Linked DNA regions of Nothobranchius furzeri. The protein of the gene in region 1 binds, or shares a complex with, the protein of each later gene. Links are inferred from orthologs where the notes say so. Each region holds a gene or a part of one and is shown on either strand. Other genes may lie near its edges.

Region 1 (4,444 bases):
CGGATGGTGATAGGTCTGTAAAGATCTCTGACTGCAGCCACTCGCTCTGCAGGGGCTGCCCTGCACATGAATCGCTCACTTAAAACACGCACAATAAAATCTGAGTACATGGGACAAAACGCAGCCCCATTACCCAAACATATGCTCTCCCTTTGCAGCTTGGTTGTCCTGCAGTGGACAGATGACCAACTGTCCTTGTGTTCCGGTTTCTAGACTCTGTGGGAGGCCATCAACATTCACAAATACACACATGTACTGAACATATGCATTTCAGAAGAAATCCTATGAGTTTTTGACAGCAAGGAGGCCATTAAAGGTACCAGAGCCCTTTGTAGCTCAGACAGCATGTTTCACAGCATGAAAGACTCAGTTCAGCTGAAGGATAAAAGGATCAGTGCATCCCAGAATGCTGCAAAACCCACAGAGAGGCAGGGCACACCTCTTCAGACTAATCTGTTTACATCTTTCCAATGACTCCTTCCTTTTGTGTGTCAAATCAGCTATTTAGAATGATTTAAAGCACAGTGAATTCACCGTGCATGGGCTGCCGATGACTGGACATAAAAGGAAGACGTGTGCTGGGATGGTGTCGGACCAGAGCCAGCTGGTGGTAGGACACAGCATTCCCCATTTGCCCAGGGATGCGGCGGTGTAGCACACAGCTCGAGTCTATATGTGAGAAAAGTCATTTTATATCGAATGTGGATCAGAGTTTTAGATCAGGGCAACACAGTATGCTCTCATAAAACAACAGTTTTTACTCAATTTTAGCCCAGAATGTGTTTTGTTGGATTTTGGATTTGCTTCAACTTCATTTACAAACTTTTCTGTCACCATGGTCCAAGGCTTTTTTGGACTTATTTTTGGGCTTTATTAGAATCAGGAACTGATAATGTATTAAGTCCTTTATTTAGAAAAAGGATGTATTTTCACCTTCTTCAATAGCGAACTGCCTCGTTCAGCCACTCCTGTAGACAGTAATGAAGGCTGGGAGACTATTCAGATGTTAGATTAAGGTTTTAGATTAGGATGTTGAAAAGGCAAACGCACAGCAAGTAGATAGGTTTTGCTTTGGGTTCTACAAATGAACACTAGGGGGTGCTAAAAGCAAGCCCAAACTGGGCTGACCCAACCTTGTCTCCTTTAATGCAACATTTCAAGCAGCATGACTAAGAAAAAAACAAATTCAGTTAAACGTTCTATTGATACTCATATTTCAGCATTATATGAATACTTTTATCTAACATTTGCACTATGTTTTTTCTAAGATTAAAAGGAGCTTGAGTTGTGATTTAATGATGTTGAAACTCAGTCACACACTTTATATGTCTGACTCTTAGAAACAGAATAGGTAAACTGATTTTACAGGCTTTTCTGGTAATAAACTGAATATAAACGGGTTTACCGTGTTGTTCAGATAAAATAATCCCTTTTGAAACTCATCATAGACTTAGGACAGTTTTAATGCATTAACATGGATGTTCTTTGGTGGGAGGCACTGAAAATAAACCAGATAATGATTTAAGTTCTAGTCTAACCATCTACTTACATAATGGTGAGTTTGATTCATCCCCATGTTGTTTCAGTCTTATCTCCATTTCACCCCCACCCACCCACAGGAGGTAATTATGTTCCACTGTAATATGAACACGGCAGCCTATCGACCCCCGAGTCATTATCCCAGTGCCTCCTCAGAGCTCCTCTGCGAGCAGCATCAGCTCTTTCGTTCCCGTCCGGACTCGACCTCCTTCTATCCTGGCTCATAGAAAAGCAGGAGACCATTAACATATGGACCAAATAGATGAAAAGGGCCTGTGTGTGTGTGTGTGTGTGTGTGTGTGTAAGCGTGCGCGAGCATCTGGCAAACGGTTGTTTTCCGCTTGGTCCTAGAGCTCAACCAGTGTCAATTTAATAAAGCGTAATATTGTTTTTGGACGGTAAAAAGTGCAGGGGTCAACACTTTGGAAAATGTTCTGGTTAGGAATAATGCAACGCAGAGAAAATATTAGATATTTTCTGCTATATCAACAAAAGTATGTCACTGCAAATTTTCTTGAAATATCACAACATGGATTTGAGGCTGCATGGCCCATGAGTTTTCTAAGATGTTATGTAAAATACTAATTTTGTTGTTTTAGTCAGATTGAAACTCAGTTTATATAAGATTTGTGTTCTAAAAAAAATAATGAATTTAGTCTTGATAGTTTGGCCAAAGCTCCTTGCATCTGGTAACTTTATTTTCCAGATTTGGATTTGATCTTCAAAAGTCTCCTTTGTCATTGCTGAAAGTCAAGTGCCCAGAGTCTAAACGGCTGAAATAGTTAAGTGCATGTAAGTGATTTATTCTAGATGATGTTATTACTGGAAACAGGTTGAATTTCTGTGGATGATCGATCAGCAGCTACAGGGCAGAGATGGATCCTGTTACGCACGGAGCCACACGGATTGGAATTGTGAGAGGGTTCATCATCAGGTGACCTTTGAGCCATTCGGAGGCAGAAATGAACACGGTGATGATGACGATGATGATGAAGAGGCGTGTACTTACTCAAAGGCGAAGAAGAGCGAGCAGGTTCCTACGATGAGGAACATGGTCAGGTAGAAGACCCCCTTCTGCCGGGCCATCATCACCCGTCCATCGCAGCAGAAAGTGTTCTTCCCCGGGAGCTTCTCCCATTTTCGCACCTTCCTCGTTATCATCACCGCCGACATGCTGCCCTGGTTTCAGATCCTCGCTGCTTTGGGCTGATGCTTTCAAAACCACTATAAGAATCTGTCAAACTTCAGTCATGTTCCGTGGCTTCTCACAAAGAAGCAGCCGGGACGCATTTAAGTGTTTTTGGAAAATAAAAGCGTCGCAGTCGCATCGTTTTTCTTGTCTAATCCATTATTTGCCGTATTTACTGCAGCGCGCGAGCCTCCTCTTCCTCTCCTCAAACAGACAGTCTTTAATCTCTCTGGTCAGAGACGCAAACGATTAGAAGATCCACCCGAAACGATTGCGACAGATGTTTCCCCGCAGAAGCAGGAAAATCCACCCGTGGGTTGTTGCATAGACTCTCAGCAGCAGCTCGGACCTTGACCGCCTGACATACATATCATCTTGGATTAATCAGAAATAAATGAGCGAGCTGCTGCGCGCAGATTACACGCTAGTCAGACAGCTGGAAGCTGAAGAAATAAAAACATCTAAATAAAAGAGGAATATTGGCCCAGCTGTAGGACGGGAATGTGATCTCATGCGCGTTTTCTTCCGCAGGATCCCAGCTCTGGCTTTGAGTCAAATGGCAGCAGGAAACACGCCTAGATAGAGATGTCTAATCTTAAAGGCGCAGCACAGGTGGAACAGGAACAAAGGACGACTCAGCTCACATTAGGATTAAAAATCCTCCCTCCAAAGAAGAGCTAGGGAATAATAAAAAAAAAATAATAAGATAACCCCTAAATACGTTCAATAGACACTATTATTATTATTATTATTATTATTATTAGTATTATTATTATTATTATTATTATTATTGATATGAGGGTCGATTTAAGCTCCTCCTAACAATAAAAATGGGGTGAGGAGTTTGAAGTCATTTTCCCACCATATTTATCTAACGGTAACCCTAAGAAATGGTAATTCCATGCATGAATGTTACAAAAATAATAGCAAAGAATTAAATTAAAAATTATTTGGAATAAAATCTAAACATAAAGTTACACATAAATGAGTTTAAATTTAAGATAAGACAAGGGATCTCTTCACCTCAGTTTTATTTTGGTAGGCTACTTTATTATTCTATATTGTACAGCTGTTTGGGTTTGGCTTGTGGCTGTTGAGCTTCACTGAGTTTTTAATCTTTAGATTTGACTTTACACTCCTTTAAACAATACAAATATTTAGCTATAACATTTATTTGTGTAGCATGGTTAACTACATACAATTATTAACGCTGAATGCTATCAGCTTTGTTAGATTCTGAGAAAAGCTCAAACAAGTTAACAATGAAACTTCTATCATATATGAATATCTAAGATATTATATATTCAATAGCTCCCTTATCTGCTTCCCCAAGGCTCTCTGTCCTGTCTGCCTACAGAGCGCTTCTCTGCATTTCTCCTGAAATCACTACTCTTTTTTTTGGAAATATGGACTTAATTAACTGGTCATTCAACGCGATTGATAAGATTTTTTCTACGATGAGAATGGAGAAGGGGGCTCCCACCTGTCCCGAGGGGACATTCGCAGCGGGATATGCACTCGATTCTTGGGAGGTCTGGCGAATCGTGTGCCTCTCTCAGTTGTCCACCGAGGACGTGGAAGATTTGTGGATATTTGGCCTGATGATCACTGGATTTCTTCTGATTGGAGTGGGAGGATATCTGGTTTTCTGGAAATTTGGGAAGACGGGAGCGATTGGAGTGCGACCCGCACCCACGGAATGTGCCGCCCGGGCGG
Region 2 (4,151 bases), on another chromosome or scaffold:
CCAAAGAACCTCCACAAGTTTTGCAGGAGCCTCTCAAACACACTTTGATTCAAATCAGGCAAGTTGCAGGCAGGCAGGATGGTGGCCCACAAGGACCAAGACTGGACACCACTGCTATAACCTGACCTACATGTTAACACAATATAGGACTATGCAATACAACGAATGCCATGTGCTGCCAATAATCACACCTAATCTGGATCAGTATAAAATATGGCATTTTTACATTTTGAAAACAGCACATACAACAAAACATTTGGAATTACAGTGATTTAAAAAGAGGCAACACAATGGCACGGTTGATTAAGACTGATTTGGATAAACTGGGGTCACAATACAGGCAACGGATGTGTAAAAAAAAAAAAAAAAGACAAGAAAACACAGAAACACAAACAAGCAGAGTCCTAATAAATAACAGGGAAAATGATGATTACATGAAAAATTTACAGAAAGTTCACGAGTGTGTCTGCTCATGAAAGTGAATCTGGTCAACCAACAGCCTAAACAGTAAGCCGAGGTAGAGAGAAGAATTATGCTGGAGGATATGAACTAAAGTGTTTGTGCTAACTGTTGTGGAGGTCTTAATCATTTTGAAAAATTCACATGACTTCTCTGAGATTACTCTCGCGGACAAAAAAACAACAAGCCTTCATAGTGGGCTTCTTGTTTCTTTCTTTGAAGGGAGCTGTTGGAATCCTGGAATTTTATTTTATTTTTTCTACAGAATCGCTGACGTGTTGTTTTTACAGCTCCAACAACATTTTTCCAAGTGAAGCTGACTCTTATTAGAAATGGATTTGGAAGTTTCTTTATCTTCCAGAGCCAATGCTTCTGTCTTCAAAGATGGTAACTTCGACCTGAAAATGGTAAGTTAAGGAAAAATCCACAATTCAAAATCAACATAAAAGAGCATTTTACCACTAAAAATAACTGCAACCATCATTTTAATAATACGACAATGTATCATTCAACAACAACGGCGTAATTCTCTGGCGGGAGTCGGGATTCAAACTTGCAGCTTTCCGATTACTGGACAACCCTCTCTACCTCCTGTGCTACTGCTGCCCCAAGATAATAATTTTAACAATGGCGTGACATATTGATCAAACATAATCCCGCTGAACTTCTGTTCACATCTGTACATCTCGATTATTCATTTAACAACTGATTCTTTTTGGGTCTTTAGTTTGAAGAAGGGTATTTTGAGGATTTTCTATATTATCCAGCAAATTAAGCAACCGGTTACTTGAAAGCAGCAAATTAAGGGTAAATTTCATAACTTAAAACCTTGATAAATTATGAAAATTTGAATTGATTATTTAACACTGGTTTACTTTGGCATTGGATGATTGTTTTCTGTGTAAAGCCCATTTTCTTAGTCGAAGAACAACACAAGCAGTGTTCCATGTCAAAGTGAAGCAGTGTGAAAATATTCTAGTTACGTTTATGAGGTTTAACATGAAAAAGTGAACCAATTCTTCCCTACTTTGAGTCAACAAACCTCTAGTTATTTCAGCCACAAAAAATGTGTTGGGAATCTTAAGTAAATGAGGGAGAACAATATACATGTACTCCTGATTATGTGATTTTAGCTACCCTAAATGGTCTTTTAAAAAAAATCATAAAATGAGCAAAGTTCAGGATACGACTCTAAGGCCTCTCTCAATGGGGTCTGTCAGCAACAAGCCCCTGGGAGCATAGATCTTCTCGTTCTGGTCCTTTATGTATCTGGCAATCTTCTTCAACACCTTTTCATGGACAGGAAACAGCACAGAACATAATAATGTCAGCCTCTACACAGAACACTGATATAAACAGTGCCACAGAGGTCATCCCACTGAGTCAGGTTTACCTTTTCATAGTGTGTCTCCATACAGAGGAAGATGGTGTAGGCCGTGACACAGGCCAGGCAGCCTTCGAGGTAGGACTTCCCCCCGAGTTTCTCTGCCTCCGCATACAGGTTGTTCAGAGTCTGGATGGTCTCATCAAACTGCTGCTTATCCAGCTGAAACCGAGCCAGCAGGTTAAACACAACCCTAACGTACTCGTGTCAACAAACAGGTAAATGCTACTTACCCTGGACTCAAGTTCGGAGGGGAACTTGGTCTGAAACTTGCATATGGTTCCGGAGCTGTAGTCCCTTTGAACATACACCTTAGAGGAGACAGCTGGCTGCTGGAGGTCCTGTAAGCTGTGGGTCTGAACAAAAACCAAACTAGCTAACACAAACTCTGACGTACGCCACCTTTTGGTTCCACACACTAGATCGATTAAAGCAGATAGGCAGTGTGTAAAATACCGTCTTACAGCAAACTGTTTAGTTAAGAACCACATAAGGTTACGCTAAAAGAGACATTGATTACAAAATTTAACAAGATACTGGGATTTGTTTGGGATATTGTTAGCCAAAAACACGTAGGCTTTCGTGACTGTTGGCAGCTCGATACTGGTAACAAAATAAGAGTTTGCACTCAAAATAATTCACAGATTAACCTTAAAACTATAAAAATAACCGCTTCTGCAGTAAACATTTATTTTTAAAAGGAATAAACCATGAAAACTAACCTCAGCCATAGCGAAGGATTCTCTTAAAGCTGCTGTTCATCTGTAACCACACCAGTTCCACTTCCGGTTCATGCTTTTCACAATAAAAGGTCAATGTTGGACACGCATGCTTTAAAATGGAATTATATTTTAAACATATTCTTATTCCTTTCACTTTGTCACGGAGTAGAATGCAATAGATATTTTTTCTCTTTAAACGTTTTGATCAACTGACATTTAACCTCATTGAGATTTCTTCTGGTAAAAAAATAAAATCAAGTTAACATTGTTTGGTCAGATGGAAAACTATATATAAAATAATATTTCTCATTACACAAGCCTCCCTTTAAATACTGTAGATCATTCAATTCCGAGATTTCGATTTCTACAGAACTTTTATCAAGTAATCAATTTATTTTGAAGGTTGACACACCCAAACCGGAAGTTTCAATGTTCTTGATGTTTAACGTCACTCTGATGCATCATCTGGTTTGTTACAGACCCATCCTCCTTTCCCAGCTAATCTGAGACCATTACATGGAAGCCATAGTATCTTGTTTCTTTTATAAATGTTTATCTCCTAAAATATTCAAAAACTTACACAAGGAATGTGTTTTATTAAAGTTTATTGAATCAAGATCTTTGACTCATTCACTGTTCACAGGTTTAGTCGAACAGACCAAAGCCCATGTCATCATCTGATTCCTCAGACTCCTCCTTCACCTCCTCCTTAGGAGCTGAAGCTGTAGAGACTGCTGCAGCTGCTACAGGTGCTGCGACAGCAGCAAAAGCAGATGGGTCAGCCAGGAAGGCTTTGACCTGCGGAGGACATATCAAAGTGTTAATTTCTAGTTATGCTATTAGTCAAAAATAAGCACTCCTAACAGACGTGAATTTAACATGCCTTTTGCATAAGGATCAGCCGTGCAGCACGATGCATGCTACACCAACAGGTTTACAAGTTAACCAAAAACAATTTAAAGCAGAATGAGTCAAACACCTTGTCCGCCAGGGGGAAGGAGTAATCCGTTTCCACAGCGACAGCCAGGACTCTCTTGTAGCCATTGATGACCGAGTGGGGGACAGAGGCCAAAGTGGGATAGCCAATCTCCAGACACACACTAGCAATGTTCCTCACACCCTGGACAAGTTAAGAAAAGTGCAATTTAGACATATAATGTCCCTGAACATTAAAATGTTAATAGACCTTGTGCCTCACCTCCAAGAACCTGGTGTGCAAAGAAGCCTCTGTGATGTCAAGCACCTCAGGGCTGTAAACACTGCCATTATCATACACTTGCTGAATGATGAGTCCAAAGGAGAAGGGTGAGATGTTCAACATGTTGAGCAGAGTTGCCTCGCTGGCACCAACTTTGTCACCGGTTTTGATCAAGCCGACATCACTCTAAAAAAACCAAAAGCAGCAGTTACTGGGTGCACTTTGCCACACTTTTGAAGATTTTTAAAAATGCATGGTATCGATTTCCAATTTTCCATCTAAAATTAAAAACTAGAACAGCTGTCTAAACTCACCAAAATTTCAATGGTTCCTCTTGAGATTTTGGTGGTGATACCAAGAGCCTGGAAGAACGAGGTCTTCTCAGGAC

What was found.
Region 2: the proteins of zdhhc9 (region 1) and golga7 are in contact, whole or in part, in a cryo-EM structure (PDB 8HF3), measured with the Homo sapiens proteins. The link is inferred for Nothobranchius furzeri from reciprocal best matches to the Homo sapiens genes ZDHHC9 and GOLGA7. Residues at the interface, in NP_001008223.1 of Homo sapiens: Phe78, Ala81, Arg85, Ile94, Pro95, Leu98, Asp100, Glu101, Phe104, Ile105, Phe129, Gln130, Ile131, Asn132, Ile146, Pro149, Pro150, Arg182, Tyr183, Leu186, Tyr274, Lys281, Cys284, Glu285, Leu287, Cys288, Gly289, Pro290, Leu291, Pro292; in NP_001002296.1 of Homo sapiens: Lys11, Phe13, Gln15, Tyr18, Ser19, Ser20, Gly21, Thr22, Ala57, Glu58, Leu60, Ser64, Tyr65, Gly68, Cys72, Ala75, Tyr76, Thr77, Phe79, Leu80, Tyr86, Glu87, Leu90, Ile116, Arg118, Gly119, Arg121, Val122.

The regions. Positions count from the first base shown.
Region 1 is NC_091741.1:85,582,335-85,586,778, forward strand, and holds the start of zdhhc9 (palmitoyltransferase ZDHHC9), read right to left. Parts: upstream 2,852-4,444; 5' UTR 2,713-2,851; coding exon 2,549-2,712; intron 1-2,548. UniProt on the Homo sapiens protein: Palmitoyltransferase that catalyzes the addition of palmitate onto various protein substrates, such as ADRB2, GSDMD, HRAS, NRAS and CGAS. The ZDHHC9-GOLGA7 complex is a palmitoyltransferase specific for HRAS and NRAS.
Region 2 is NC_091743.1:54,616,854-54,621,004, forward strand, and holds golga7 (golgin subfamily A member 7), read right to left. Parts: upstream 2,672-4,151; 5' UTR 2,575-2,671; coding exon 2,566-2,574; intron 2,200-2,565; coding exon 2,077-2,199; intron 2,006-2,076; coding exon 1,853-2,005; intron 1,749-1,852; coding exon 1,647-1,748; intron 858-1,646; coding exon 810-857; 3' UTR 695-809; downstream 1-694. Other genes in the region: rplp0 (large ribosomal subunit protein uL10), read right to left, coding at 3,211-3,363, 3,545-3,685, 3,764-3,949, 4,078-4,151. UniProt on the Homo sapiens protein: May be involved in protein transport from Golgi to cell surface. The ZDHHC9-GOLGA7 complex is a palmitoyltransferase specific for HRAS and NRAS.